Macaca fascicularis: one gene and its partners. The protein of the gene in region 2 interacts with the protein of the main gene of each other region in a biochemical or structural test. Links are inferred from orthologs where the notes say so. Each region holds a gene or a part of one and is shown on either strand. Other genes may lie near its edges.

Region 1 (4,315 bases), on a different chromosome or scaffold from region 2:
AGACAACACTGTCCACCATGTTTCCTGTGACGGCCACATTGTCACAGAGTGAGGCCCTCTCCACCGTTTTTCTTTGAGACGGAGTCTCGCTCTGTCACCCAGGCTGGAGTGCAGTGGCGCGATTTTGGCTCACTGCAGCCTCCGCCTCCTGGGTTCAAGCAATTCTCCTGCCTCAGCCTCTCAAGTAGCTGGGATTACAGGCGTATGCCATCACACCCAGCTAATTTTTGTATTTGTAGTAGATGGGGTTTCACCATGTTGGCCAGGATGGTCTCAAATCCTGACCTTGTGATCTGCCTACCTCGGCCTCCCAAAGTGCTGGGATTACAGGCATGAGCCAGCGCGCCTGGCCTCTCCACCTTTTTTGCATCTATCAATGCCCCTAGCTCTCTAGCAGCAGCTGTGCAAACACCAGGAGGGCCCACGGGGTCTTGGTAAGACACTTTTCAGGGTACTGCAGCAGTGCTATGGTCTTGTGGTCAGGAGACCTGCAGCCTGTCACTAACTGACAGTGTGACCTTGAGCAAGAGCAACTCTATGGCTTGCCTCCTCTTATCAAATGGCACGACTATTTCAGCTTAGAAGGTTGTCGTGAGGTTACAATGAAAAAGTATAATGACTTTAAACAAGGATTCAACTTGATAAAAATACAAAATACTGCCTTTATTAAAAATGAGGCAGAGATGAATAGGAGGGAATTTTGTCCCAGTTAACTATTTATTCCATTTAAACTACTCAAAGTCCAGTTGCCCCAATAATTAATAATTTTCACTTCCCCAAAACCCCAAGCAAGGTGCACTATCATTCTCACCTGCGGGACCTATGTTTCCCATGCCGATGCCTTTATTCAGGTGATTGGCATCAATGGGTTGCCCTCCTGGTCCTAACCCCATGCCAATACCACCAAGGCCATCTGGAAGGAAAAGAGAAAGAAGTTTAGTTTTCCCCTATTTAGCAAACCGTGACCCTCAAAGGAAAAGAGTCTTTGTTTAGTGAGTTGCAGCTATCCACTCCAGCCTACCCACCCCCACCCACCAGTGACCCCAGGGCCCAATGCAAAATTCAACATCAGCACATTTGGAAACAGAACCTTGTTCTGGCGTTTGGGATATGTGTGTATACAACAAAGGCGGCTGAAAACCAACACAGGGGAAAGTTAACAACCCCCACACTAAGATTCTTGAGAGCCTATTTGTTTCACTAACCCATGGACTGAGAACTGATCAAAAAAGGTGACTCAAGACATCAGGTGGCAAGCAGCACAAATGTGCCCAATCCCTAGTAGCCCAAAGGACGTTTCTCATGAAAAAACACGTTGCAAACCAGCCAATCAACATCCTGGATGTACACTACTCTCTGAATCTGGGTGGTTTTAGTAACAATGAACCTAATGTATGTATTCAAATAACCTATCTTCCTTCCCCCAAAGCTTCCTAACCCACAACTGGATACCCAGCCCACACTCAACTCCATGCTCTACCAACACAAACAGGGACACAGAAATACAGGCTGGTCTCTGGAAACAGCCAAAAGAGCTGACACTTGCAATATTTGGGGTAACCACCATCTGAGGCTTAAACTACAACCAGGTAAGGTTTCAAAAATTATAACAAGGCCAGCCGCGATGGCTCACGCCTGAAATCCCAGCACCTTGGGAGGCCAAGGCAGGTGGATCACCTGAGGTCAGGAGTTCGAGACCATCCTGGCCAACATGGCGAAACCCCATCTCTACTAAAAATACAAAAATTAGCCTGGCATGGTGGCGCACACCCATAATCGCAGCTACTCGGGAGGCTGACAGGAGAATCACTAGAACCCAGGAAATGGAGGTTGCAGCGAGCCAAGACCACGCCACTGCACTCCAGCCTGGGTGACAGAGTGAAACTCCATCAAAAAGAAAGAAAGAAAAAGAAAAAGAAGGAAGGAAGGAAAGAAAGGAAAGAAAGAAAACAAAATTCATTTAAAAAGTAAATAAAACCTGCCACTACTTCCCAGGCGTTTAACCTGATTAACATTCCATCTTTAACTGCACAGCAACAGCAGCAAGAGATCACCAAGGTTACTTACTCCTCAAAACACTGAAGGCTTTGAAGTCAAGTCTCTGAAATGGCTGGGAGACCAAGAGCCATGGCTCCCTGGAGCAGTGTGCTCCACCTCCTGATCCAAAACAAGAGTCAACAACAGCCACTACCACGGTCCAGGGTGACCGCTGCTCAGATGAGCACACAGACAATTTATTTGGGAAATGAGTATGTTATGTCCAGGAAATGTGATCCTTCTCTAACTAATGTTGACTTTCAACAGATGAGCCTTCTCATGAAGCCACAGATTTCCCTTCAAGATACATCTGTCATGCTGCCTTAATGCTACGATGCAAAGGTGCTCTGGCCTGGGCTCCCATCCAACTCAGTAAGTGAGTAGGGCCCTCAGCTTGAGCTGCTGCTCCAGACCAGGCCCCCTCAACCCACCTGGTGGAGGTCCCCGCAGCACAGCACACACAGGCCTCTCACCCTCACCCATCTTCCTTCTCCAGGAGGGCTTTACCTGTGCCAGTGACTCCCTGAAATGTCCCACTGCTGTCTGCACTCAGGTTCTGGCTTCCCGTCTCCGGCTTACGTAGGACTCTGCACTAATATTTGCCACTTCTACCTACGTGGTGGCCCATCAACTAGCCTTCCCTGTCACAAGACAGATTTTTCACCTGGGTGTCACAAATAGCCGATCCCTTTCCCCTCTGCATAGAAATTATTTGTTCAAGACCCTTCACATACCATAAAACTCACTCAAAGTATTCAGTGGTTTTTAGTATATTGAGATAGGCAACTATCACTACCATTTAATTCCAGAATATTTTCATCACCCAAAAAAGAAATCCAACCTTATTAGCAGTCCCGTCCCCACTTACTCCTTCCTGGCCACAGGCAACCACTAATCTACTTTCTGCCTTTATGCATTTATCTATGTGGAGCATTTCCTGTAGATGAAATCAAGGTTCATCCACACCGCAGCATGTGTCTGTCATCCTGCTGCAAACAACTGTGTACGAATTTCTGTGTAGATGTCTAGTGTGCACTGCTAGTGCACATGGGACTAACCAATATCTTCTGAATTAGAGTGCAGCCTGGTTTTTATTCCCTTCACAGGTTCTGATTCTTCCCTCCCCAGGACACTTTCAAAATGCCTAACCACATCCTCTACATTTTGGTATTACAATCCTAGGATTAACACGAGGTAATCCTAACAATATCCTCAAACTGTGAATCTCTGCTCATTTCTCGCCCTGAAAAATCTATAGAAAAGAATTGGCCAAGAGAACTGAGGGCTAACCTGGCACAGGTTCAAGTGAAACTTTATGGTAATTTTCTGTTTCTTAGTATAACTCAAATTCAAACTCTCAGCCCTAATCACTGAAACACTTACGGGGAAGTTGTTGTGGACGCTCAGGAGGGAAGAAATCTCCTTTTGGTAAGGCCCTCTCATCCTGAAAGAGAAAGAAAACGAATAAATCTCAGTATCCAGTGCAGCAGTGTTTGCCACAGCCGAAGACTGAAATGGCCCCCCATCAAGAGAGGACTGGCTAAACACATTATCCACACCATGGAGTAATATGCAAGGGTGGAAAGGTATGTGGAGCGTGCTTCCTATTTTATGTCAAGGTGAAGGATCAAAAGACATATGGATATTATCGTGGGGGATAATGGGGACCTGGGCAAGAAGTCCAAGTAGGACTCACACTATCTTCACGCTATCTTTTCATATTTTTTGACTTTTGAGTCATATGAATCTATCATCTATTCAAAAAACTTAACTATTCTATTTACAGTAATGAAAAAATTGCTTTATAGTTTCTTTTATCTTTTTCCTGAATTTGAGCCCCGACTAGATTGCCCCCAGCATGTTCCAGTCATGCCTGTAGTAATTATTATCTTTGGCACAGCCACGGCAGAGCAAATGTTTATTAAGACTGAAATGCTCCAACAGACCTTTAAGAGCTGTCTGAATCAATGACTTAATTATGTTCACAAAAGACTTGATGCTAACCAAACATTATACTGTAATACTCTGAAAAACTGGAACCCCACATACATAACTATTCTTTGAAACAGATCACTTGCTCAACCAGGATACCCAGGTGACTACCTGTATGTGCCATGAACAGTCAACTGTGCAAAAGGAAAAATATCTAATGCAGTCAAGAGTTGCCATGAGCAAAATGTTTTGTTTTGTTTTGTTTTGAGACTGAATCTCACTCTGTTGCCCAGGCTGGAGTGCAGTGGCACGATCTTGGCTCACTGCAACCTCCTCCTCCCAGATT
Region 2 (4,315 bases):
GCTACCCTGGAGGCTAAGGTGAGGCGGGAGAATGACTTGAACCTGGGAGGTGAAGGCTGCAGTGAGCCGAGATTGTATCACGTCACTCCAACCCACGCAACAGAGTGAAACTCCATCTCGAAAAATTTTAAAAGCAAAAACTCAAGCCCCGAGCAGGAGAAGAGGCCTGTACGTGCCACTTGAAGAGCTCCAAAGCAGTCGCCAGGAAGCAGTCCGGGCTGAAAGGGGCGCTCCATGGTCACCAGGAGACGCAGTGGAGGCCGCTGTGCACCTCACCCAGTGGCTGGAATCCACCAGCGACAGCCCGCGTGAGCAGCCTGGAAGCAGCACGGCTTGAGGACCGATGCCGTGACCCCACATTGCACAGCAATGCACTCACGCCAGTGTTCATACTCAGGATGGCCACGCAGCTGCTGGTGTCGCCTATGGGCTCCTGCAGTGTGGGATGGTCCGCCGTGTGGGATGGTCGCAGCGTGGGGCGGTCTGCGGTGGTGTCCTCACTGCATTCTCCAGGGCGTGTGCCCTGTGCGCTCCGTGGTACCTGAAGTCCAGGAAGCTGCCCCTGGGTGTTGGAGTTGGGATTACGGGGCAGACGCAGTGGTCGGTAGGAGCGAGTGTTCGGGAAGCTGTAGGTGTTCGTGGCGCGTCGGCTTTGAGAGAATTCCTCAGGCTGCGCTGGACTTGCCGCACTGTGTGTCTTCCATAGCATTGAGGGAGAATGCCCGGGAAAAGACGGGAAATAGCCTGGAATATCAACGGTGATGGCCCCGACGGGGCTAATGGTGGCAAACTTCTTTGCTTTTTTGTAAAGAAATAACACAGGGTCCTAAAAGCCCATGTGTCCTGGAAGCAGAGGGTCTGCGTAGGAACTGCCGACTCTGGAAGGGCCTTGGCTATGTCCCTGGACATCTCCCGCAGCTCCTCCTATCTCCCCTGAGTCTGGCCCAGCTGGGAAGGACGTGGGGGCCTGTGTTCCCAGACGGCCTGGCTGTGCCGGGAGTTCTGTCCTGGGAGAGACACGGCTTCGTCTCTGGCCTGCGGCCGTGTCCCCAAGGCTCTGTCCCCTGCGTGCAAAGGTGGACATGTCTTCCTCTTGCCTCCTCGTGGCCACAATGTTATTTTTTTGGAAAGTTCTTGGCCACATAACCTGGCTCCCAACCCAGTGGCCCAGTGTTGGGAGGGGGTGGCGGGGGGGAAGGACATGACTCGGGGACAGTGCCTGCCTGCAAAAAGCGCTTCCTTTCTTCCTCGTTCTCCAGGTAAATTCGAACCACCATTATTTCACCCGAATGTGTACCCCTCGGGGACAGTGTGCCTGTCCATCTTAGAGGAGGACAAGGACTGGAGGCCAGCCATCACAATCAAACAGGTACGGGGCCTCCGCCACCCATATGGGCCGGGCTGCCTCCGTCTCCCCTCTGGACACGCGGGTCTGCAGTCATTCTCAGTGGCTGAGGCCGAGTCTCACCGTGTCCCCCTTTCAGACTGCTCACACCCCTGTCTTGTGTTTTTGTTTCTGGCACAGATCCTATTAGGAATACAGGAACTTCTAAATGAACCAAATATCCAAGATCCAGCTCAAGCAGAGGCCTACACGATTTACTGGTTAGTAGCAGCCCTCGCCCCGCTGCTGGCAGCTCCTCTCCATCCCAGCCAAGGCCGCCTGGCAGGAGGGGAGCGGAGCACACAGGCTCACCCTAGAGACAGCCAGGGTCCGCACCTCCAGGGGAAGGTCGGGGCATAAACCCTGTGGGCAGCAGGCACCGACGCACAGGGTGTGCCGTGGGCGTGGACGGTGCCGGAGCCCTGTCTGGGGGAGGGAGCAGGCCAGGTGACGGGGGCTGTCTTGGGCCCCTACTAGGAGGGGAAGGGCCTGGCCATGGGTGCCGGAGGAGGCCATGCTGAGGGGCTTGTCCACCTGCTCAGCCTCCTGTGGACCCCAGCCTCTTGCACTGCCCCTGCTGCTTATCCCCAGCCCCGCACACTTGGCTCCTCCTGTGGGGGCCCAGCACGGCTCAGTGATGTGATGCTGTCACGTAGGCTCGGCTCCCACCCGGTCCCTGTGAGGTGCTGCTGTGGCTACAAGGGTTCCCGTGGTCCTGGGGTCACTGTCTGCACTGAGGAGGGCCTGGTGTGAGTGAGGATGCAGACGACAGCCAAACAGTGCTGGGGACAGCAGGGAGGACCCTGCCCTGAGCAGACGCCACGCGCCTGCCTGTCCTGTCCCCAGCCCTGGGGGCCGCCTCTGCAGCTGCTCTGGGCAGGTCCATAAGAAGGTGGGTTGGGGGCTCTGACCCCCACTGCTGCACCTGCAGCGTTGAGAAACCCAGTCCCATCTCAGCGTGGGTGCCCACACCTCTGAGGGGGTCTCGGGGGCCCCAGTGGCCGGGGACCCAGGAGACTCACCCTGCAGCCACCCCACACGTGCCTGCCACCATGGGCATCGGAGGCACGCTCCCTCCAGGGGGCATCTCCTGGTCGGGAGTGGGAGGCTGAGGGGTCACCGTTGCCCTAAGCCCAGCCCGCACCGGTTGTGAGGAAAAGCACCTGGTTTGGGCCGGGCGCAGTAGCTCATGCCTGTGATCCCTACGCTTTGGGAGGCCAAGGTGGGCGAATCACGAGGTCAGGAGTTTGAGACCAGCCTGACCAACATAGTGAAACCCCATCCCTACTAAAAATACAAAAAGTTAATTGGGCGTAGTGCTGGGTGCCTGTAATCCCAGCTACTCGGGAGACTGAGGCAGGAGAATGGCTTGAACCCAGGAGGCGGAGGTTGCAGTGAGCGGAGATGGAGCCACGGCACTCCAGCCTGGCAGCAGAGCAGGATGCCATCTCAAAAAACAGAAGGCACCTGGCTTTGGAGAGATGTGTTTCTCCCTGGATGCAGGCCCAGCCCAGGTGTCTGCAGGGTGCCCTCCCTGCTGGCTGAGGGTGGCACAGAGGCCCCAGGCAGGGAGCAAGTGTCACAGCAGCCACCCCAGCCTCAGCCTGGCTCCCCTGCACACCTCACAGACGCTCAGTCGGCCGAGCCATTGCTGGAACTGGCTCGTGGGATGTGGCGTGGCCTGGGTTTGTGTGTTGGCCTGCTGTGCCCTAGGAGTTCCGTGAAATGCATTCCACTGGGCAGGAAGCCACAGTGCTCAGGAGTGTCACGTGGCCCTTGAGGTAGAAAATATTTTCTTTTTTTTTTTGAAACAGAGTCTCACTCTGTCACCCAGGCTGGAGTGCAGTGGTGTGATCTCGGCTCACTGCAACCTCCGCCTCCTGGGTTCAAGTGATTCTCCTGCCTCAGCCTCCAAGTAGCTGGGATTACAGGTGCACACCACCACGCTTGGCTAATTTTTGTATTTTTAATAAAGACACGGTTTCACCATGTTGTCCAGGCTGATCTTGAACTCCTGACCTCAGGTGATCCACCCTCCTTGCCTCCCAAAGTGCCGGGATTACAGGCGTGAGCCACCGCGCCTGGAAAATGTTTTCCAGGCCATGTGTGGTGGCTCACGCCTGTAATCCCGGCACTTTGGGAGGCCAAGGTGGGCTGATTGGTTGAACCCAGGAGTTCACGACCAGATTGGGCAACACAGCAAGACCCCATCTCTACAAAAAATGAAAAATTTGCGCCGGGCGCGGTGGCTCAAGCCTGTAATCCCAGCACTTTGGGAGGCCGAGATGGGTGGATCACGAAGTCAGGAGATCGAGACCATCCTGGCTAACACGGTGAAACCCCGTCTCTACTAAAAATAAAAAAAATTAGCCGGGCGTGGTGGCGGGCACCTGTAGTCCCAGCTACTCGGGAGGCTGAGGCAGGAGAATGGCATAAAACCCGGGAGGCAGAGCTTGCAGTGAGCTGAGATCTGGCCACTGTACTCCAGCCTGGGTGACAGAGTGAGACTCCGTCTGAAAAAAAAAAAATTGCCAGGTGTAGTGGCTCACGCCTGTAATCCCAATGCTTTGCAAGGCCACTGCGGGAGGGCTGCCTGAGCCTGGGAGTTGGAGACGAGCCTGGGCAGCAAGGCAAGACTACCTCTCAAAAAAAAAAAAAAAAAGTTAAGCCAGGCATGGTGGTGCACGCCTGTAGTCCCAGCTATTTGGGAGGCTGAGGTGGGAGGATCGCTTGAGCCCAGGAGGTTGATGCTGCAGTGAGCTGAGATTGCAGCACTGCACTCCAGCCTGGGTGACAAAGCAAGACCCCATCTCAAAAAAAAGAAAGCAGGCCGGGCACGGTGGCTCACGCCTGTAATCCCAGCACTTTGGGAGACTGAGTCGGGCAGATCACGAGGTCAGGAGATCGAGATCATCCTGGTTAACATGGTGA
Region 3 (4,856 bases), on a different chromosome or scaffold from region 2:
GGCACATAGCAGACACTGCATATACTATGGCTCATTTGAATGAATAAAAGGAGTATAAGAAGTTAAAACAGAGACCAGAATGCTACTTATTTCTGGCACAGAGTATGGATCGTACAATAATTATCTATTACTTACTCATCACAGCAACCCCTGTAAAACTAGTTTTCTCAGTTGACAGACAAGGAAACTGGGGCTCAAAGAGGCTAAGTCACTCACTCAAGGTCATAGAGTGAGAATAGGAGAGAGCCAGAATTTTGATCCCAGGCAGCCTTGTCCCATAGCTAGGCTGTGATGCCCAGAACCTACCGGGCATCTGCTTGGCTGGGCTGTACCAGGTGTGCCACGTCATTGAGCTGGACATTCCGGCGTATGAGATCCACAGCCCGGGCAGAGGTATCGTTTGCAACCACAGATCTGAGCCCAGGCACCTCTAGGGCAAATCTAATGGAACGTAGGCCTGAAGCTGCCAGGCCTTCCAGCACATGCAGGCCTTCCTGTTGGAGTGAGCAGAAAACCTCCCTCACACCTCCATCTCCATCCTCTTCTGGGCCCCAAGGAGCCCCCACCACCCACCTCCTATAGCTCTCCCCCTCCAGGAGCCCTCTGTCTCCCGCTAAATTCCAGGACTGCCAGCTGCTATGCTCAGGCCCCACCTCACAGATTTCCCCCACGGCCGCTGTGCGAGGTTGGTCTCCTGAGGCCAGGTTTTCATTCTCTTTCAGTTCAACCTTTTCCTCCTCTTGCTCTGACAAGTCCACGACCACCTTTTGCGCGTCCTTCTCTCCTGGCACCTTGACTGCAGCCACCCAGAGGCACAAGTCAGAGAGTAACGAAGTCCTCTCTGAGAAACCTCCCCTTAATCTCCAAAATATCTTCCCTGAAATCCCTGGGGAAAGGCTGAAGGAGCAGAACCCAGGGCCTGCTATGTGGCTGAAGCCTCTCTGGATTTGGGCGGCAGAAGGGCCCAGGCAGGGAGATAAGACTTGTGTGACCCCCGCCCGCCAGAAGCCTGGACCTCCACTCACTCTGGATTCCTTTGGCCCCAAGCTGAATGCGAGCAAACTCGGTGATCACAGCACATCTGGTGGGAGACAGAGGACTAGCTCATACCCCGCCCCCGCCATCCACACTGACCCACTAGCCGATGCCAGGCTGACCTCTGACCCCTGCTCACGTCAGGTCCCGATTGAATTCCTGCACCGGGTTATAAAAGACCTCGTTGGCGCTGGGAAAGGCGATTTTGGCAGCCCCCTCGGTGATTGTCGTCTCCTGGACTTCACGTGGGCATTCTTCTCCGCAGGGCCCGGTGCCGTTCTCCATCGCTGCTGGATTCGGCAGCCCTGGGGACTGCCCCTCGAAAAACCGGGCTGTACAGAGCACACGGGTGGGGCGGAGAGTGAGGCTTAGCCACAGAACGATCCTTGCATGAGACATCCGCTGGTGCCTCTGTCCGCCAAGCCTGGTTCGGGGGGCGGGGAAAGGCACAGAGAGGGTCAGAGAGCCGCATTCTGGGCCCGGGGGTGTCCTACATATCTATGAAGTAGAAACTAGGAAGACCTGCGGCCTCGGTAAGCTGATAACCCCTTGTTTTGGGGATGACTGGTTCCTGCGGAGCCGATGCCCTCGTGCAGGCCCGCCCTGAGTCCGAATCCCTTCCCGCACTGCCCAGCCCCTCCTCACCTGGTCTCGTAGCCACAGAAAACCGAATTAGTCAAGGTGCACGTTTCCCAAATTAGGACCTGGGCGCCGCCATGTTGGCACGGTGGGTGGGGGAAATCACATGATAGTGGTTGGCCAATCAATGAGGACGTGGACGGTGGGCGGCCGGGATCAAAATGAATGCCATAAAGGAAGCGCGCTGATCATGCTGTTCCGGGGGTTTTAATCACAGTGGATCCCCTGGGAGAGGACACGTCACTAGTCCCATTTCACAGATGAGGAAGTTGTGGCTCAGAAAAGGGGCGGTAAGCGGAGAAACCCAACAGCTATTGGTCCTCTTCTGTGTTCTGGGTGCTATATACACATTATTTCAGAGCACTCTGCAGGGATAACTCAGGCTCTGGAGTTGGATTTACTGGGTTTGAATCTCAGTCCCACCACATGCTCGGGGCCGGTTACTCTAGGGCCTTCAGTTTTCTTATCTATTAAATAAGAATCGTGGTTTCTCAGATAGAACAAAGATTAAATGACAGATTCCTGGAAAGTGTGTAAAGAGCCACTCTGACCTTGTAAGCGCTCGGTAAAGTTCTAACCAGTGTACGAAGGCAGGACAGCGAAGTGGTTCCCGGGTACCTGGGTTCCAGTCTTAGCTCGCCCTGCGACTTGTTGTTAACTCTGAACTTAAGTTACCGCTTTTGCAAAAGGGCAGAACTTTTTACCATTTGTTAGTGGGTTGTAGTGAGAAGTAAACGAGTTAGTGCACGTAAAATGCTAACAGAACCTAGCATCCGGTAAGCATCATAAAAGTCTTAGCTGTTATTGTCGCTTTTGAGCCTGCGTTTAAATCCTGGCACCCGCCATCACTTCCTTGCTGTGTGATGATCTTGACCAGCTTTCTTTGTGCCTCCTTTTCTGTCTTTCTTTATTTTCTTTTTTTTTTTTTTTTTTTTTTTGAGACGGAGTCTCGCCCTGGATCATGCAGTGGCATGATCTCGGCTCACTGCAACCACCGCCTCCCGGGTGCAAGCGATTCTCCTGCCTCAGTCTCCCGAGTGACTGGGATTACTAGCGCTTGCCATCACGCCCGGCTAATTTTTGTATTTTTAGTAGAGACAGGGTTTCGCCATATTGGCCAGGCTGGTTTTGAACTCCTGACCTCAGGCGATCCACCCACCTCGGTCTCCCAAAGTGCTGGGAGTACAGGCGTGAGCCACCGCGCCCAGCCGCCTTTATTTTCTCTAGTGTGTAACAGTTCCCACTAAAAAATGTTACTGTGTAGTTTAAACGAGCTAATTCCCATAAAGAACCTAACACGGTGCCTGCTGCAATAAACAGCAGTCATTATTGTTTTTGTTTTACAGGAAACTAAAGTTCGGAAAGGTAGAGCGACTTGCCCAAGGTCGCGGGACTAGAAGGTGGCGGGGTCGGGATTCGAACCACCGAGCTGAGCCGACGTACCGGCGAGGATCCTCCCAGGGGCATAGAGAGGAGACGGAGCCGGTTAGATGGGGCGCGCTCGGAGCTCGGCTGGCCTCGCCTGGAGGGCGGGGCCTGAGGGCGGTGCGCGGGCGGGGCCGGTGCCGCTCCTCCCTGGCCTGGCTGCGGCGGCGGCGCGGCTTGCGCTCGCTCGGCGCTCGGCTGGGGCGGCCTGGCCCACAATGAATGGCCGCCGCGGCTGCCGCTGCTGCTGAGGCGGAGGCCGCGGAGGCCGCGGAGGCGGAGGCCGAGGCCCCGGCGCAGGGGGGCGCGCCCCGGGCCCAGGCCCGGCCCCAGCCGCCGCTGCGGAGCCCGCCGGGAGCCCCCGGAGCTCGGCCACGGCGCAGGTGAGGCGGCCCGCCTCAGGCCCGGTTCCGGCCTTCTCCAGCCGGGGCGGCCCGAGGGCTGAGTGGGGAGGGCCTGGGTGCTTTCTCGGACTGAGGAGGAGCCGGGCCCGCAGCCTGCACTGTGCCCGGGCAGGCGTGTGTGTGCAGGCCCGGCTACCGCGGGCAGACTTGAGCGTCCAGCCCGAACCTCGGGGCTTGGGGGCGGCAGGATCGTACCTGGACCGCTCCCCCAGCTCCCAGCGAGGGAGGGGGCCAGGTCGGGCCGGGGCGGGTACCGGGGATCCAGGGAAGTTAGAGGGTCCGAAGCGGAAAAGTGAGGAGGCGCCCGTGGATGCCGGAGGGGGAGGGGGAGGAGGAGTCGGGCTCTGGCCAGGCCGAGTGGGGGAGGAGAGGAGAGCGGCGCGGCCGGAGGGGGGCGGGGAGGGGCCGGGCCTGCAGGTACCGCCTGGGCGCTGGAGGAGGTGGGTGGGTCAAGTTACAGGCCTGGGGGCGGCTGAGGAGAAGCCCAGGAAGTGGGGCACGGTGGGTGTGGGCGGAGTTAGTTCGGGTGGGGGCGGATAGGAGATCCCAGAGATGTTTTCCGGGGGTCACATGAGGTCAGGACTCAGATGTGGGGAGGGGGAGGCTAGATCTGGGGGCGATTAGGTAAGGCGAGGGACTGCTGTAGGAGCTTTGCGAGTCGGGGGAGCAGAGCCTTTGGGCTAGGCTGGGGGGATGTGGGGGCAGGTCAGGAAAAGCTAGTGTGACCAGCAGGTATATACTGAGATGCGCCCCCCATCGACCCCAACTCGAAGTGTTAGTTCAGAGTCACATCTAAGGGGTTCCCTCATTCCCACACCTCATCCCAGAAGCCTCTAGAGTCCTGACCCTACCCCTTGGGCAAGCCTCTGCCAACTGTTCAAAGGCGCTGGCCAGTGGGTGTTTGTGTGGGCAGCTGGAGACAGTCTGGAACACCTAGCTTAGGCATCTTGTTTATCACAAGGTGGCCCTCGCCCACCCCCACCTTATATATCTACAGGGAGGCAGCCCAGCAGACATTACCTGAGTATTTTAGGATCCTGCGTTCTTTCTCTACCTTTTGTGGCCAGAAGCTGGTGGTTCAAGCCTAGTGGATGGGACCTCATAGCCACCGTCATATATATTAGTACCATGGCCTCCCAGGCACCAACTCCTTGAGCCTGAGTTCTGTGTGCCACCTCCCTAGGGGTGAAGAATTAGAGGGAGTGAGCATGTAAAACTCTGCTAATGGTGGTTTGGAGGCTCCCGATGGGGTAAAGGCAGGGCACAGAGAAAAGTTAAGGGGATCAAATCAGGCACTCACACCCTGGCCCAGGGATCTACCTCTGGGACACTAGTCCTGGGCCAGGCCCTGTG
Region 4 (4,315 bases), on a different chromosome or scaffold from region 2:
AGAAATAGTTCCTAAATTTTTTCAAGTTAAGTTAAAGCTTTAGGCTTTGGATAATGCGGAATAAAAGTTTTTTAAAATTTAATCTCTGATAAATATTCTAGAAATGATCAAAATTCCATTTTACTTTGTATTTTAGAAAATTTGCAGACAACTTGGGCAAAAGCTTTAAGACTTTTAAAATTAATTTTCCTGAAAAACTCAGAAAGGGTTTAAAAGTTTCAAATTAAGGAATATTAAAGATTTCAGCACTATGAAAACATGTAACAAAAGCAAAATCAAAAAGGCCTTAAATTCGTCTGAACAAGTTCTTCATATACAAAATTTCAAGTAAGAATTTTAATATGTATCATAAGGATGGCTTAAAGTACATAAAATTAAACTATAGTAAATAAAATACAAAAATGAGGTTTTTAAATAAACATTACTCACCATCAACAAGAGATGGTATAGATCTTTCATTGTCTGAGTTTGAGAAGAGAATCAATTCCTTGTTGATGAAATCATTATAAGTCAAATGCTTTGTTGCAGTACCATATAAAAATTGCTAAGAGAAAAGTTATATAGCAATATTATCATTATTACTGCATGAATTCTAGTCTCTCTCTCCTTCTTCCCCCAGGTCACCACTCTTAAGACTAACCTCTGGTAAGCCATGTAGCCTACGCTGTCTCCGGTCTTCCATAAAATTTGTTAACCATTCTTTTCTGTCATCAATCTTCTTCTTACTGAATGCCTGAAAGATTCCAGGTAATGATTTTGCACATTAAAAATAAAATAAATTTAATTACAAAATTAAAACTTATAACTGGCCAATAACTAATTCTTAATTTCTGGAAAATTAGGTTATTTTACAATATTTTTATCAAAAACACATTTGAACTAAGGTCTTTCAATTAAAGAAGTTTATACTAGCACAGCATCATCTGGGGAAAAAACTAAAATTAACTAGCTTGAGCATTCAAAAGAGACTTTTCATAGGGAACCAGGACTGGGAGGAAAGGAACAGAAGGTAGGGGGATGGCTAACAAAAGCTTTTAAAGAATTAACTTAATTACCAAGGTAATGGCAGCATCATCTTCAGGACCAGCGTATCTAAACAAGATGCGATGCCTTTCCATATCAGCAAAATATTCCTTTGCTTCTTTAGCTGTACTAGTACCCAATCCTGCACAATTTTAAAAATAAAAGTGAGTCATGGATATCAATGTCTGTTCAAAACCATCAAGTGAAAAGTTGGTGGAAAAGTTGTAACAGATGGATCACGCTGGCAACACCTATACCAACTGCAATCTTAATAAGCAACTAAAGACAAAGTAGACATTAGATGCTTCCTGATGAAAGTACACAGCGATACCTATGAAATGTTTTTGCCAAACAACTGTAACCCAAATCTGATCACGCCTGTGATTTAACCATCAGTTAACCGAAAATAAGGGCACAGGAAAATACTATATATTAAATGTAACTAGAGGAATATAATTAACAAAATCCAGAATGTGGAAAATTACACAGAACAAACAACCCAACTTAACAAATAAATTACAAGGAAAAAATATAAAAAGAGAAATGCTGTATTAATAAACTTATCAATCAAATGCAATGTGTGGACCTTATATGGATCCTAACTTTGGAAAAAAAAAAAAACTCAGGCTAAGCACGGTGCCTCATGCCTGTAATCCCAGCACTTTGGGAGGCTAAAGTGGGTGATCACTTGAGGCCAGGACTAGACCACCCTGGCCGACACTGCAAAACCCTGCCCCTACTAAAAATAGCCAGGCATGGTGGCACAAGCCTGTAATCCCAGCTACTCGAGTGGCTGAAGCATGAGAATCACTTGAACCCATGAGGGAGAGGTTGCAGTAAGCCAAGATCCCACCACTGCACTCCAGCCTGGGCAACAGAGCAAGACTCCATCTCAAAAAAATAAAATAAAAATAAAAAACTCTAAAAATAAACATTTTTAATACAGTCCAGGGGAATTTTAACACTGGTTGGGTATTTAACATTATCCAAAAAAAAAGGGAGCCAGGCATGGTGGCTCACACCTGTAATCCCAGCACTTTGGGAGGCCAAGGTGGGTGGATGGCTTGAAATCAGGAGTTCAAGATCAGCCTGGGCAACAAACCAAACCCCATCTCTACAAAAATACAAAAATTAGCTGGGTGTGGTGGCACACGCCTGTAGTCCCAGCTACTTGGGGGGCTGAGGCAAGAGGATCACTTGAGCCCGGAAGGTCAAGGTGGCAGTGAGCTGTGTTCATGCTACTTCTCTCCAGCCTGGGTGACAAAGCGAGACCCTGTCTCAACAATAGGATATTAAAGAAGGTCATGATAATGGTATTATGGGTTACTTAAAGAAATTCTTTTAGAAATACATACTAGTTATAGGTGAAATACTAGACTATAATGTCTGGAAGTTTTTTCAAACTAATGGAGTGGCAATAAAGGAAGTTTACAGGAAACAAGACTGGCCATTGGAATGGTGATCCCATTCAATGGAATCTATTACATTATTCTATTTGCATAAATTTTTCTGTAACAATATTTTAAAATCAGTGATAGCTATTTTCGAAGTCTAAAATAGAGTCAAACTTTCAAGATGTCTTTTAGATTGCTTTCATAAGAATACATTTATATCAATATTTAAAATCTAAGTATTTTAAAATACAAACCTTTATAGTACTTGATTTTCCAGGCTTTCTGATTTTCTATATGTTTTTTCCACTCATCAAATTCAGGAATACTGTAGAAGGAAAGTTCCTGCTTATTTTTGCTTGCCTTGAATTAATTAAAAAAAAAATTAGTTTTTCTGCTACCCTTTAAGACAACAATATAAAAATATATTAATGCAAAGAGTACCTTGACAATAGGAGTAATGAACTCTTCAAGAAAACCATGCTTCAAAAGTGATGGCCAATTGTGATGGATGAAATTAATAAGCAGGCCTTTTATGTGAGAACCATCTTGATCCTAAATAAATGTTAGTAAAGTAAAAAAATCCTGTAATACTTTTATAAAATGATTAAACAAATTTTAAAACCTGTGAATGCAAAAAAACAAAATTCTGAATTTTAGAAATGCACTTTACAAAAGCTATTAAGATGATCACACTAAATTTTTTCTTAATATGTAAATAAAGAATATAGTAGTAATAGACTGAATGTCATTATAAAAATATATTATCATTGTATCTGTTCTATAGTTTCCCCAGATTTCACTAAAAGAATGATTTAAGGATGGAAAATACATAAAATAAAACATGGCTACGATGCCACCTTAATGGGCAATGGTAGGGAAATCCAGGTAATACAGATATTCACAAGTCTTCCTTAGATAAAAAATTGGAAAATTTCTGCTTAAAACTACATATTAATAGTTTTTTCAGTTGCAGATTTTCTCTACAAATACTTTAGAGTGTGTAAGAGAAAATAGTTGAATGCATCTGAAATCCTTACTTTTCAATTTTCTAGTTCTTGATTACTGTCATTTTACTATTTAAGTCTTCTTGGTATTTGTGCATTCCAAATCATGCCATCATATATAAATATTAACCATTATCATGAATCTTTCTTACTTGTTAATTCCACAATTTTGTTCCTGCTTGTAGGCAGGCTGCCATACTACCACACTGTATTATGTTCTCCTCACACATATTGCATTTTAAAATATTTTTAACTAACCCATAAGACTGTTACCCCAAAAATTAGATAATGTAAAATGTGCTTCATACAAATGTTTCCACTAAAAGATGAAGTTTTTTTATTTTTTCCCCTGATGTATAATCACTTTCAGTTATACTATCTTGGGGCAAGTCTCATAAAACAAATATTAAAAGTAGAATCTGAAGAAGACATGAATTTAAAATATATGGTAACTTTAAAACCAACCTGATCGGTCATAATCATAATCTTTCCATAGCGTAAGGTTTTCAGAGATTCTGCATCATCGTAACTTTTCTTATATTGTAGACCAACTATTTTAATAATATTATTTATTTCAGCATTTTCCATGATCTGTTCAAAACGGAAAAGCATTGAAAGTAGTTCAAAGTGTTGAAATATACAATGAGTCAGAAATTACATTTAAAAATTCCACAAGTTTAGTAAAGTATTAGAAATGTCATGTGTATGTGTGCGTGTGTGTATACATATATATACACATATATACCTGTTTATGAGAAGCTTCCCGTACGTTAAGAATTTTGCCCCTGAGTGGAAAAACTCCGTATCTGTCTCGTCCAATCACACCTAATCCAGACACAGCCAGTGATTTGGCAGAGTCTCCCTCTGTTAATATCAGTGTACACTCCAGGGAAT
Region 5 (4,315 bases), on a different chromosome or scaffold from region 2:
TATGATCCATGTCCAGCTCCAGGAGAAGTAAGTAAGCTCTCTGTCACTGGCACATACCCAGGTGCCTTCAGATTCCGTAGCCTCCCTCCCCTTTCCCAGTAAGGGCGTCCTATACCAGCTGCTCAGAGCTCACATTCCAGCTTGGAGATTTAGTCAAAGAGTCCTGGAGACCCTCCTGTGCACTCCCCTCACCCCTTACTTTGAAAGTCCCCTTATTCCAGCTAATACACAGCTGCCACATCTCCCGGATTTGGATTGCAGAGCTGAGCACTGTCTCATTCTCCAGCTATGTGATGTGGCTCTGGCTCCTTGAGATCAGAAACTGGTCTGTGTCTCCTTACCTCTCAAGTGCCCAACACTAGGCAGGGCGTGCAAAGGTTGTCAGACAGCAGGTCATCCTAGAGACAAGAGGTCTCCTCCACTGAGCCACTGTACGGTTTTGGGTAAGCATCCAATCATCTCCCGGAGGTTTTCTTAGCTCCCTTCTACCCTAACCCCAGGTCCCAATTGACTTCTCTGTTCCGAGACACTGGTGGCTTAAGAGAACCTCCTGAAGTGGTTGGTCCCTCTGGCGCCAAAATGATACTGGGTCTGATTCTCAGCTTTGCAGTTTTTCGTTCCCTATGAGTCATCGCTAGGTCAATCCAGAGTCTTGTAAATTAGTAAAACGTGTCCCCTCTGGGTGGCTGCAGCCCTTTGTCAGGGCCTTATCTCCCCCTTATCCTGTGTCCTGGAACCTAAGACCTTACCAAATCCCAAAGACTGAATAAAAACCCAGTTTCCTTTTCTGTCAAATGGAGACGATCTCTTCTGACTCGCCTTCCCTAGGGTGCAGCAGAGGCACAGGGCGCCCAGGATGGTGGCTTGCGTACTTACCTGTCCCCTGGGTGATGCAAGAGCTGAGGTCCTGCAGGCGCACCTTGAACTCGTCAAAACCGTCCGTGCGCACAGCGGCTTGCAGGCTCTGGGGTTCCTCCTGGCGCAAGCGGCAGAGCGCCTGGCGCAGGAAACTGTGCATGTCCAGCACCTCCTGGTCCGATGCGTAGCACTTCATCCTCTGCACCAGCGCGCTGCCCGTGCGGATGCGCTGCAGCACAGCGTCCAGGCGGCCCAGCCGACTGGCCATCTCCTTGTAGTCGCGCTGGTACCGTGCGTCCACTGCCTCCAGCAGCTCGCGCTCCTGCGCCTGCAAGTGAGCTACCACCTCGCGCACGCGCGCGCGGATCAGCTCCTCGGTCTCGGCGCGCGCGCGGCCCAGCTGGCCGACAGCCGCGTGCATCTGCGCGTGCACCGCGCCAAAGGCACTATCCTGCTCCTGCAGCGCCTGCGTCATGGCATCCAGCTCCTCCTGTCGCTGCTGGATCTCTGCGCTGATGTCGCACTTGAGCTCACTGTGGCCGCTGTCAAGGAGAGCGCACGAGCAGCACAGCGGCTTGGAACAGCCTCGGCAGTAGATGCTGTGGACACACAAGGTTGGCCTGGGTTAGGACTCTCCTGACTTTTTCCTCTTAAAACGTTCGTTATAAAATTCCTTTTCCAAAATTACCAGACTTTGAATCATGGCGTGTTTCTAGGTTTCTGCTTTTCCCAATTCATTGTTTGTGGTTATGGTGATAGTATCCAAACTACCAATAACACGAGTATAAAAAGTTACTACAGTAACAATTTCAACATCCGGGAAACAATACAAAGATATACGAAACGACAATCATCTCTTTCCACCACTTCTGAATTTCCCTTCCTCACTGAGGAAGCACCAGGTAAGCATTGTGGGGTGCACCCTTCCACACCTCTCTCCAGTGAAACCGCTTTACACAAATGCCAGACTGGCAGCTGCTTGCAGGATGGTACAGACTTGACACATGTCAGCCATGCCACTTAACCTTTGCGAGAGCCCCTTGGATGAGAATTATTGTTATGCATATTTCCCAGAGGAAGAAACAGAACATGTTAAATGATTGACCTGGATATCTACAATTTTGGGGATTGACGTTTGTCAAAAAAAAAAAAAAAAAAAAAAGAAAGAAAGAAAAAGAAAGAAAAGAAAGAAATCGGCCGGGCGCTGTGGCTCACGCCTGTAATCCCAGCACTTTGGGAGGCCGAGGCGGGCGGATCACCTGAGGTTGGGAGTTCGAGACCAGCCTGACCAACATAGAGAAACTCCGTCTCTATTAAAAATACAAAATTAGGCGGGTGTGGTGCCGCATGCCTGTAATCCCAGCTACTTGGGAGGCTGAGGCAGGAGAATTGCTTGAACCTGGGAGACGGAGGTTGCAGTGAGCTGAGATGGTGCCATTGCACTCCAGCCTGGGCAACAAGAGCGAAACTCCGCCTCAAAAAAAAAAAAAAAAAAAAACAAGAAAAAGAAAAAAGAAAGAAATCAACTCATATAATTACTTTGTAACTTCCTCCTCTTAACAAACTTTCACTCAGAGCATTCCTCTAGGTGCATAGGCACAGATCAGATGTATTCTCTTTAATAGCTCTGGTATATCCCAGATGGGCTACAATTGATTCAATCACTCATTTTGCTGGCATTCAGGTAATTTCCTGTTTGTGTATTTTCTTTCTTTCTTTTCCTTTCCTTTTTTTCTTTTGGTGCCAATATGGACAACACTTTAGTAATATCCAAGTTATATAGCCTAAACATGGATGCTTTTGTTCCTATGAAATAGATTATAAATATAGGCTTGCTAGATCAAAGTGTTTGTATTTTAATGTTTTTATTTGGTTAATTTTTTTTTTTTTTTTTTTTTTTTTGAGACGGAGTTTCGCTCTTGTTGCCCAAGCTGGAGTGCAATGGCGCCATCTTGGCTCACCACAACCTCCGTCTCCCGGGTTCAAGCAATTCTCCTGCCTCAGCCACCCGAGTAGCTGGGATTACAGGCATGCACCACCACCCCGGCTAATTTTGTATTTTTAGTAGAGACAAGGTTTCTCCATGTTGGTCAGGCTGGTCTCGAACTCCCGACCTCAGGTGATCCATCCGCCTCAGCCTCCCAAAGTGTTGGGATTACAGGCGTGAGCCACCACTCCTAGCCTGGTTAATATATTTTAGCTAGCAGATACTTCCATAGCATTTATTGTGTATCAGACACTATTATAAGTGTTGGCAAATATCAATTCATTCAATCCTCCTGACAATCCAATGGAATAGATAACATTATTATCCCCATTTTAAGGATGAGAAAACTGGTGCAAGAGGCGAAATAATTTGTTCAAGCTCACACGATTAGTAAGTGGTAGAGTCTAGATGCAAACTCTAGTAGGCAGAATAGTGGCCTCTAAAGATGTCCACGTGCAAATTCCTGAGACCTGTGAATATGTCACCTTACTATGGCAAAAGGGTCTTTGCAGGTGTTACTCAATTAAGGACCTTGAGATAAAGAGATCATTCTAGATTATCTGGGTGGGTTCAATGTAATCACGTGAATCCTTACAAAGGAAAGGGCAGGGAGGCAGAAGGGGAGATGTGATGAATGCAGAGGTGGGAGTGTTGTGATGTTGCTGCTTTGAAGACAGAAAGGGGGCATGCACCAAGGAATGTGGGCAGCCTCTAGAAGCTGGGAAAGGCAAGAAAACATTCTGCCTGAGAGCCTCCCAAAGGAGCAAAGCCTGCTGACACCTTAATATACCTCAGTGAGACCTGTTTCAGACTTCTTACCTCCAGAACCATGAGAGAATACATTTACATTGATTTAAGCCCCTAAATTTGTGGTAATTTGTTACAGCAGCAAAACAAAATATAAAAACCCGGCCGGGCGCGGTGGCTCAAGCCTGTAATCCCAGGACTTTGGGAGGCCGAGACGGGCGGATCACGAGGTCAGGAGAACGAGACCAGGCTAACACGGTGAAACCACATCTCTACTTAAAAAAAAAAATACAAAAAACTAGTCGGGCGAGGTGGCGGGCGCCTGTAGTCCCAGCTACTCCGGAGGCTGAGGCAGGAGAATGGCGTAAACCCGGGAGGCGGAGCTTGCAGTGAGCTCAGATCCAGCCACTGCACTCCAGTCTGGGCGACAGAGTGAGACTCAGTCTCAAAAAAAAAAAAAAAAAAAGAAAATATAAAAACCCAGGTAGTCCAGCTCAGAGTCCATGTTCTTAACCATTACAAGGCTGCTTCTTCAAATATTACCAGAGAAAATACTGTTACTTCCCCAGAAATATTGCTGTAATTTACCCTCACCGGCAGTGATATTCAGAATAAGTCTTGGTGGCCTGCGCCAGTAATCCCAGCTACTCGGGAGGCTGAGGTGGGAAAACTGCTTGAACCCAAGAGGCGGAGGTTACAGTGAGCCAAAATAGCACCACTGTA
Region 6 (3,888 bases), on a different chromosome or scaffold from region 2:
ATGATAGGACAGAAACAATCTAAATGTCCTTAATAAGGAACTTGGTCAATAAATAATTATCTATCATTCTATACAGTCACTAAAAATAATTTGGTAAATCCACATGTACTGCTGTGGAAAGTTTTCCAAGACAGTAATTTTAAAAGGCAATGTCCAAATAAAGAAATAAAATAATTTTTTTTTTTAAAGGCAAGGTAGCAGTATGCTCATCTTCTGTCTTTAAATATACATATACATGCATACAGGTCAAACAATGCTATAGCTTTACTAGAAGGATTCACAAGAGACTAACAACGGTTGATTTGGAGACATGGGGTGGGTAGAAAATTCACTGTATAACCCTTTTGTTTACCTTTTTTTAAACTATGAACTTGTATTCAATTTATAATACAAAAATGTTATCCTCTAACAAGCCTATTATTTTTTCTTTAAACACAATGAAGGCTGGAATCCAGATGCCAGATATTCGGAGCATTTTCTGCAGGAAGCTAAATTACTCCACTGGAATGGAAGACATAAACCTTGGGACTTCCCTAGTGTTCACAACGACTTATGGGAAAGCTGGTTTGTTCCTGACCCTGCAGGGATATTTAAACTCAATCACCATAGCTGATATAACTCTACCCTTAAAATATTCCCTGTCTAGAAATGTGGAATTGTCTCTTTGTAGCCAACTATAACATTGTTCTTTATGAACATTACCTTTGATACAGATGAGCCACAATATAAAAACCAAAAACTACTGTGTGCAAATTATACCTTGGACCATATAGGCATTGACTGACTTCTTTAAGTACATGTGTTAACTATGGAAATTGAGATTATGTGACTGAAAAACATAAAGGAACAGACCCATCTAGATACCAGTAATCAATCTGCTTAATTCTGAATAACAATTATATCCACAAATTTTTAAAACTTCTAAATGTATTTTTCACATGTAGATCTTTTTAACAGGTTGCCAATCTTTTCTTTTATAAAACTATTGCATTTAAAATATGGATGTCTGAAAAATAAAATATTCATCATTTTTATGACTTTTATCATGTTATTATTCTACATGTTAAATATAATAGAAGGTAAACTGACCTCAGGTTTAAAGGGGAAAGAATACCACTCAGTTTTGCTACAGAAAAAGCCCATAACTTAAGGATAACAATTCTTAATATATTTTATTATAAAAGCCATCAGACTTTCAAATGAATTTTAAAATCTTTCAATATTATTTAATGAAAAAGTCTCATACTGTCATGTACAGGATATATCAACATTTACTACTCATCTGTCATGTTAGGAAAACATCATTATTATATGCTTGGAAAATCCTCAAACCCATCTCTAGTGGATGTCTGTCATAATTTAAATGGTATTTTCCCCATTCAAATAAAACAATCTATTGTAAAGCTACAATAGTTATATACCAAAGCAATACCTAGTTACATGCTTTACACAGTCCCGTGAAAAAATAATTTAATTGCTCCTAATCCCTGATGCAAGGCACTTCAAAGCACCCGCACAAAACGTCCATGTAAACAGCAGTACAGTATATCATTTAAATAACATAAATGACTTTTACACAGCTTGACCTAGACTTAAGGAAAAATAAAATCCATCACAGCCACAGCTAAAAAGCATGTTAAGATTAACAAGAATTTGTTTCTCTCATAGAGAAGAGCAATCATATAACCTCCTGGGGGTGGGGGAGACCTCCTAAATATTTTATATTGATTGACAAAACAGCATGCTCCCTGGGTATGTATGAAATCAGAATATTCAGGAGTGACTGAGAGGATGCAAATGGCATTTCTTAGTACCCAGCTTTAGTATCTACCAGACCTAGTAGTCTGGATTATTTGTAGCACCATGGAAAACTCATTAGAAAATCACAAAAGTATATACTTCAACCTTTCCATGAGGTTCATTTAATTCATAGTAACAAACAGCAACGATGCAGATAAAGAATCTTTAAAATTATTGGCTTACTGGATTTACCTAGCAAGAAAAATTCTATATTACTTATTTTAGTACATCTCATGTACATAAAGCACCAGTTTAAGTGAGATTATGAAGTATTTCCAGCATCTTTTTGCTTAGCCTAAAAGTTCATTTTTTATCACTTTCCATGGCACATTCTTAAAGCCAAGGAAGATAAAACTAGAATGGTGATAAATATGAATGGAGAAATACAGTTCCTTCCCTATCATATTTATGTGTCTCAAGTAAAACATAGACGAGTGGCAAAAGGTCTACTGCATTCTCTGGAACCTGCCACCCCAGAGTAGTTACTGGCTACTAGAGGATTAACACACAGGGCTGAGCAGGTCAAAGCCAGGGCTCTGTCAGGTAAGGTACAGTTTTTACTACCGAGCAACTCACAAACACCACTGGTAAAGCAAAGAGGTCTGAGTGTGCATATAACTCAGGGAACCCTGAGTTTACCCTTAGTTACCACTAAAAACTAACGAATGAGACTCCACTGAGGCTTAACTTCATATACAAAAATCAACACATTTGCCTCTTTGACAGTGGTAATTATTATTAGCATGCCCTGCTTAGGTATAAAAGGGATGATGGTATATCTAGGTTTATGCACAGTTAAGAATCAACTATAAATATTCAGACTTGTATTTTAAAATTACAGATCAAAAGTGGCTCCCAAAAGAAAATCAATTTCTTCATAAATGAAATATAGTATATAAAAAGCTGGAATGATGATTAATTCAAATACAAAAGCTAGTATACAAAAACCCTACTTTTTCTTCCAAACTACTTAGGTTCATAAGGTTCATACTACCACACAACTGTTCTACATTACAATTACACCACTAGAGTAAAATACTAATAAAACAGTTCAGTTAGCAAACTGAGGTTCTACTTGTTGACAACTGCATTAAAACTGCAGCATTTAAGCAGAGCTGAGAAGCACCATTCTTAAGCATGACTTTCTTCTTCCTGTTCTTGTGTTCCACAGTGATTATTAAAGGAAGGAATCTGGTCTGTAAATGACTGGGTCATCCACTGCCCATTAGGAATGCCACTGAAAGTTGATTCTCCTCTTAACTCCACACTGTCAACTGCCAGAAAGACAAAGTTAGTTTATGCCATTTAGAAATTTTTGCTTTTTTTAAAATAGAGACTGGGTCTCACTCTGTCGCCCCCAGGTTGGAATGTAGTGGCACGATGACAGCTCTTTGCAGCCTCAAACTCCTGGGCTTGAGTGATCCTCCCATCTTAGCCTCTCAAAGCACTGGGATTACAGGGGTGAGCCACCACATCAGCTTCTTTGGAAGTTTTTTTTCTTTTTGAGACGGTGTCTCACTCTGTCACCCAGGCTGGAGTGCAGTGTGGTGATTTTGGCTCACTACAGCCTCTGCTTCCCGGGTTCGAGTGATTCTCTTGCTTCAGCCTCCCAAGTAGCTAGGATTACAGGTGCCTGCCACCATGCCCAGCTAATTTTTGTATATTTTAGTAGAGACGGGGTTTCACCATGTTGGCCAGGCTGGTCTTGAACTCCTGACCTCAAATGATCCACCCACCTCAGCCTCTCAAAGTGCTGGGATTACAGCTGTGAACCATCATGCCCGACCTGGAAGTTTTAAATGATCAAAGTAGGAGATTTTAACAGTCTAGTGAAGGAGAATTATTATTAAAATAGTTAAGCAAGCTTCCTGAATACAATTATAAGTTTCTGTTCTATTTTTCAGATACAGGACTCATTTGTTATTAATCCTCATTTGTTATTAAAGGAGGAAAATGCAACTAAGATGGCCGAGAGTTCATGACTTAAAGAAAACGCACTGTAGGCCAGGCACCACTGTAGGCAAGGCACAGTGGCTCACGCCTGTAATCCCAGCACTTTGGGAGGCTGAGGCGGGGCGGATCACAAGG
Region 7 (4,315 bases), on a different chromosome or scaffold from region 2:
AAGAGAAGACTATGAAATAACTAGGGAAGCCCAGCACTGGTCTAGGGCTTCCAGAGGACAGAATGAGGACCAGCCATTATTAACCATGTTTTCAAAATGTTGGCTATAGGAATATGACACGAAAATGAAATGCGCATGGCAGGGCAGCATCACTGTGGGGATCTCAGAGTGGGAGTAGGAGTCAGTATTAATAATGCAATGATGGTTTTTGCCAAAGCAGTAAGACAAGAAAGTAGGTGAGATAGTGCTTAGGGGCCCAATACTGGCCTGACGGTACCAATGGATGGGTTAAAAACTGATAAATTTTAACATTGTTTTCAAAGTCATAGCTATGGCAATCAAAACAAAATAAAATCTCTGATATAAATGTTAGGGGGGGTCCCAGCCCTGGTCTGAGAGACTGTACCTTGTCATAGTAGTACCGCAAGGCCCGGCTGAGCTTGTCGTAATTCATGTTGGTCTTGTTCTTGCGTAGCCCCCACAGCCGGGCCACCTCCTCTGCATCCACCAGCTTGAATTCACCACCATCCCGTGAAGTCCAGGAGATGATGTGGCCATTGCCTTGCTCTCTCAGCAGCTGCAGCAGAAACTGCCACAGCGTCACAGATGGGTCCATCGCTGGGGGAGTGCTCACGCCATCCCAGGGGTACCTGGAGGGCAAACAGCTGAGTTGAGAGGCTGTGGACATAGGAGGGGCAGAGGTCAGGGGGAGGAGGATTCCTTTTTTTGTCATCTTTTCTCCATCTCTGTCCTCAAACCCTACCATCATTCCCTAAACATTCCCAGACTAACTTCTAGCTCCCCAATCCAGCTTGGGATGCTCCCTGTGATGGGATACAACTCATGAGTATCTTAGGATGGTGTGAATGTATTTTGCCTGTGGGACAAATGTGAATCTGTGGCGGTCAGAGGGCAGACTGTGGTAGGCCAGATGATGCCACCCCTGTTCCACATCCTAATCCTTGGAACCTGTATGTTATTTATACTACGTAGCAGAAAAGAACTTTGCAGATGAAATTAAGGTTACAAACCTTAAGACAGGGAGATTATTTCTGGATTATTTGATTAAATTCAATCTAATCATATGAGCTCTGAAAAGCAGATGATGAAGAAAGAAAGGTAGCTCAGAGATGTGATGACAGAAGAGGCAGGGGAGATTCAAAATGTGAGAGGGACTCAACCTGCCATTGTTGGCTTTGAAGATGGAGGAAGGGGGCTCAGAGCCAAGGACTGTGGGTAGCCTCTTAAAGCTGGGAATGGCCATCAGCTGACAGACAGTAAAGAAACAGGGAATTCAGTCCTACGACCTCAAGGAATTGGATTCTGCCAACAACTTGAATGAGCAGGAAATGGATTTTCCCCTAGAGCCTCCAGAAGGAACACAACCCTGCCAATACCTTGATTTCAGCCCACCGAGACCAGTATGGGACTTCTGACCTATAACAATTTTTTTTTTTTCTGTGGACTCTCAAAATTCTCCTCAGGTCAACAGGTATAACAGCTATAAATATAACTCATTATTTTAAAAAAAAATTTTTTTTTTTTGAGACGGAGTCTCGCTCTGTCACCCAGGCTGGAGTGCAGTGGCGCCATTTTGGCTCACTGCAAGCTCCACCTCCCGGGTTCACGCCATTCTCCTGCCTCAGCCTCCCGAGTAGCTGGGACTACAGGTGCCCGTCACCACGCCTGGCTAGTTTTTTTTGTATTTTTAATAGAGACGGGGTTTCACCGTGTTAGGCAGGATGGTCTCGAACTCCCGATCTTGTGATCCACCTGCCTTGGCCTCCCAAAGTGCTGGGATTACAGGCGTGAGCCATTGCACCCAGCCACAAATATGTTATTTTAAGCAGCTAAATTTGTGATAATTTATTACAGCAAGAATAGAAAATTAGTTCCATCCCCCTTATTTGAGTGTTATCTGTATCTTCTACATACCATATAAATTCTACCATATAAATGTTAAGTTTTTCAGGTTTTTTTGCCAGAGCCTTGCAAAGGCTGCTCACTCCACGTGGGGCTTCCTTCTTCTGCCTAGCAGTCTTTCTCATCTTTCAAGTTCCACCTTGAAGGTCCTTTCCTTTATGAAGCCGTCCTAAAACTGAACGCCTGATCTCTCTGTCCTGTTACTATCCCTGAATGTTCTCTTTGTTTTTTTTTTTTTTTTTGAGATGGAGTCTCTCTCTGTCGCCCAGGCTGGAGAGCAGCGTAGTGGCACAATCTTGACTCACTGCAACCTCTGCCTCCCAGGTTCAAGTGATTCTCGTGCCTCAGCTTCCCGCATAGCTGGGATTACAGGTACCCACCACCACGACCGGCTAATTATTGTATTTTTAGTAGAGACATGGTTTCACCATGTTGGCCAGGCTGGTCTTGAACTCCTGACCTCAAGTGATCCACCCACCTCCCACCTTGACCTTCCAAAGTGCTGGGATTACAGGTGCGAGACACCATGCTCGGCTCTGAATGCTCTCTTTCTCGATGACAGCAATAATTAACATCTACTGAGAGCTTAATACACATCAGGCACTGTTCTAAGCAGAGGCAATATGACCTGCTGGACAACTGCCCAGGCACTAGGGCCAGACTGCCAGTGTTTGAATCCTGGTTCTGCCACTTATTAGCTGTGTGACCCTGTGCATATTCTTTTTCTTTTCTTTTTAGAAATGGGGTCTCACTACGTTGCCCAGGCTGTTCTTGAACTCCCAGGCTCAAGCAATCCTCTCTCCCTGGCCTCCTAAAGTGCTAGGATTATAGGCATGAGGCACCACGCTTGGCTGATATTCTTTAACCTCTTTGTACCTCAATTTTCTCATGTGTAAAACAGGGATAATGATATGCCCATTGCTAAAATGGGGATAACAATACCTAGTTCATGAAGATATTGTATAGATTAAATATTATATGCCTGAGGTATATGATAAGCTCTAAATATTAGTTTCTGATTTGTTCATAGTCCCTTATCTGCTATTCCAAAATCCAAAATGCTCTAAAAGCAGAAAGCTTCTTATACCTCTTTTGGCAGCAAAACCTGATTTGAAATGAAACAAGGCCCTTTCTGGTCTTTATTGATTCTCACTTAGTGTGAGAGTGTTCATACATTTTGCTGCATAAATATGAACACAGCCGACTGCAGAGCTTACTAAGGGGTGTTATGTAACATCGTATATGCATCATGTTACCTTCCTGAAATCTGAAGAAATTGAAATTCTGAAACGCATCTGGCACCAGGGGTTTTGGGTAAGGGCATGTACACCTGTACTGTTATATTTTTTTAATGGGCATTGACTCATTTATCCCTTATCACGCCTCTGAGAAGTAGGTAGTCTTACTGTCATTAATTTATAAATGAGGCAGCGGAGGCACAAATGTCTACGTACCTTCCACAGTCCACAAGTGGCAGAGCCAGCATGTGGAGCCAGGCAGTCAGGTTCCAGTGGGCTAAGCATCTCACCATTAGACTAAATGGCCCCTCACACCAACTGCTTCCTCTTAGCATGTCCCTCAAAGAACAGGATCCTCCCTGTCACCCCATTACTGCTTTCTTTCCTGAGAGCAAACTGGAAATAAACATGAGCTTCCTGTTCAATTATACAAGTCACAAAGCCATGAAGTGTCCGATTAGAGAGTCCTGTCACCAGAGACCTCACCGAATTTGTTTTGCAGGCAGGCTTGTTTCAAAAGCCCAAAGAGTTCAGAGTGACTCCTGGTGGCAAAGACAGGCAATTTTACCAGTTCCTCTTTCAGCTGCAACAGCACCTATCAGCTGAGTGAAAGGTCACGGTGGGCTTCCAGCTTCAATAGCACATACGGCTTTGTATTTTGTCATTTCTCCCACTTGACCCCTCATAAGAGTTCTAGCAATCTGCCTTGCTTGGATATGTTTACTTCTTTCCATCTCCTTCACTTAGCAAGCTTTTGGTGAGTGGGCCAGGTGCTGCGGATGCAGCCGAGAACGAAACAGACAACAATGCCTGCTCCAGAGGAGCTCACATCTTAGCAGGCAAGGCAGGTGAGAAACAAGGCAAACATGTACAAGAGTGCGTCGAATGGTGGGAAGGGTTATGGGAGAAGAAATCAAGCAGGGGAGAGTTGTTCCTTTCACGTGGAGAGTCAGGGGAGAGTAGTCACCAACGAGGAGACAACCGGGCAGAGACCTGAAGGAAGTGAAGGAACTGGGCTCGTGAGTATCTGAGAGCAGCGAGCCAGGTGGAAGTGGCAGCCAGTGTGAAGGGCCCAAGGCTGGAGACTGGTAGGTGACAGGGGGAGAGGAGGCCGGCACGGGTTGGAGGGAGAGCAGGGAGGCAGCGGGAGAGGT

What was found.
Region 1: of the proteins of UBE2I (region 2) and HNRNPM, one has a biochemical effect on the other in vitro, tested with the Homo sapiens proteins (2 studies listed by BioGRID). The link is inferred for Macaca fascicularis from reciprocal best matches to the Homo sapiens genes UBE2I and HNRNPM.
Region 3: of the proteins of UBE2I (region 2) and NACC1, one has a biochemical effect on the other in vitro, tested with the Homo sapiens proteins (2 studies listed by BioGRID). The link is inferred for Macaca fascicularis from reciprocal best matches to the Homo sapiens genes UBE2I and NACC1.
Region 4: the proteins of UBE2I (region 2) and TOP2B form a complex in vitro, tested with the Homo sapiens proteins (2 studies listed by BioGRID, with this or other methods). The link is inferred for Macaca fascicularis from reciprocal best matches to the Homo sapiens genes UBE2I and TOP2B.
Region 5: of the proteins of UBE2I (region 2) and PML, one has a biochemical effect on the other in vitro, tested with the Homo sapiens proteins (13 studies listed by BioGRID, with this or other methods). The link is inferred for Macaca fascicularis from reciprocal best matches to the Homo sapiens genes UBE2I and PML.
Region 6: of the proteins of UBE2I (region 2) and TDG, one has a biochemical effect on the other in vitro, tested with the Homo sapiens proteins (3 studies listed by BioGRID). The link is inferred for Macaca fascicularis from reciprocal best matches to the Homo sapiens genes UBE2I and TDG.
Region 7: of the proteins of UBE2I (region 2) and ELK1, one has a biochemical effect on the other in vitro, tested with the Homo sapiens proteins (3 studies listed by BioGRID and IntAct, with this or other methods). The link is inferred for Macaca fascicularis from reciprocal best matches to the Homo sapiens genes UBE2I and ELK1.

The regions. Positions count from the first base shown.
Region 1 is NC_088393.1:9,162,494-9,166,808, reverse strand, and holds part of HNRNPM (heterogeneous nuclear ribonucleoprotein M), read right to left. Parts: intron 3,482-4,315; coding exon 3,421-3,481; intron 914-3,420; coding exon 812-913; intron 1-811. UniProt on the Homo sapiens protein: Pre-mRNA binding protein in vivo, binds avidly to poly(G) and poly(U) RNA homopolymers in vitro. Involved in splicing.
Region 2 is NC_088394.1:2,065,458-2,069,772, forward strand, and holds part of UBE2I (SUMO-conjugating enzyme UBC9), read left to right. Parts: intron 1-1,259; coding exon 1,260-1,369; intron 1,370-1,525; coding exon 1,526-1,605; intron 1,606-4,315. UniProt on the Homo sapiens protein: Accepts the ubiquitin-like proteins SUMO1, SUMO2, SUMO3, SUMO4 and SUMO1P1/SUMO5 from the UBLE1A-UBLE1B E1 complex and catalyzes their covalent attachment to other proteins with the help of an E3 ligase such as RANBP2, CBX4 and ZNF451.
Region 3 is NC_088393.1:13,518,952-13,523,807, forward strand, and holds the start of NACC1 (nucleus accumbens-associated protein 1), read left to right. Parts: upstream 1-1,826; 5' UTR 1,827-1,934; coding exon 1,935-1,964; intron 1,965-2,253; exon of another isoform or gene 2,254-2,450; intron 2,451-3,020; coding exon 3,021-3,039; exon of another isoform or gene 3,040-3,159; intron 3,160-3,291; exon of another isoform or gene 3,292-3,482; intron 3,483-4,856. Other genes in the region: TRMT1 (tRNA (guanine(26)-N(2))-dimethyltransferase), read right to left, coding at 307-494, 654-796, 1,026-1,081, 1,175-1,434. UniProt on the Homo sapiens protein: Functions as a transcriptional repressor. Seems to function as a transcriptional corepressor in neuronal cells through recruitment of HDAC3 and HDAC4. Contributes to tumor progression, and tumor cell proliferation and survival.
Region 4 is NC_088376.1:22,719,824-22,724,138, reverse strand, and holds part of TOP2B (DNA topoisomerase 2-beta), read right to left. Parts: coding exon 4,167-4,315; intron 4,013-4,166; coding exon 3,887-4,012; intron 2,970-3,886; coding exon 2,859-2,969; intron 2,778-2,858; coding exon 2,672-2,777; intron 1,166-2,671; coding exon 1,056-1,165; intron 734-1,055; coding exon 641-733; intron 545-640; coding exon 430-544; intron 1-429. UniProt on the Homo sapiens protein: Key decatenating enzyme that alters DNA topology by binding to two double-stranded DNA molecules, generating a double-stranded break in one of the strands, passing the intact strand through the broken strand, and religating the broken strand.
Region 5 is NC_088381.1:50,946,031-50,950,345, reverse strand, and holds part of PML (protein PML), read right to left. Parts: intron 1,458-4,315; coding exon 877-1,457; intron 1-876.
Region 6 is NC_088385.1:110,915,790-110,919,677, reverse strand, and holds the end of TDG (G/T mismatch-specific thymine DNA glycosylase), read right to left. Parts: intron 3,075-3,888; coding exon 2,932-3,074; 3' UTR 1,154-2,931; downstream 1-1,153. Other genes in the region: GLT8D2 (glycosyltransferase 8 domain-containing protein 2), read left to right, coding at 444-613. UniProt on the Homo sapiens protein: DNA glycosylase that plays a key role in active DNA demethylation: specifically recognizes and binds 5-formylcytosine (5fC) and 5-carboxylcytosine (5caC) in the context of CpG sites and mediates their excision through base-excision repair (BER) to install an unmethylated cytosine.
Region 7 is NC_088395.1:47,740,964-47,745,278, forward strand, and holds part of ELK1 (ETS domain-containing protein Elk-1), read right to left. Parts: intron 651-4,315; 5' UTR 617-650; coding exon 407-616; intron 1-406. UniProt on the Homo sapiens protein: Transcription factor that binds to purine-rich DNA sequences. Forms a ternary complex with SRF and the ETS and SRF motifs of the serum response element (SRE) on the promoter region of immediate early genes such as FOS and IER2.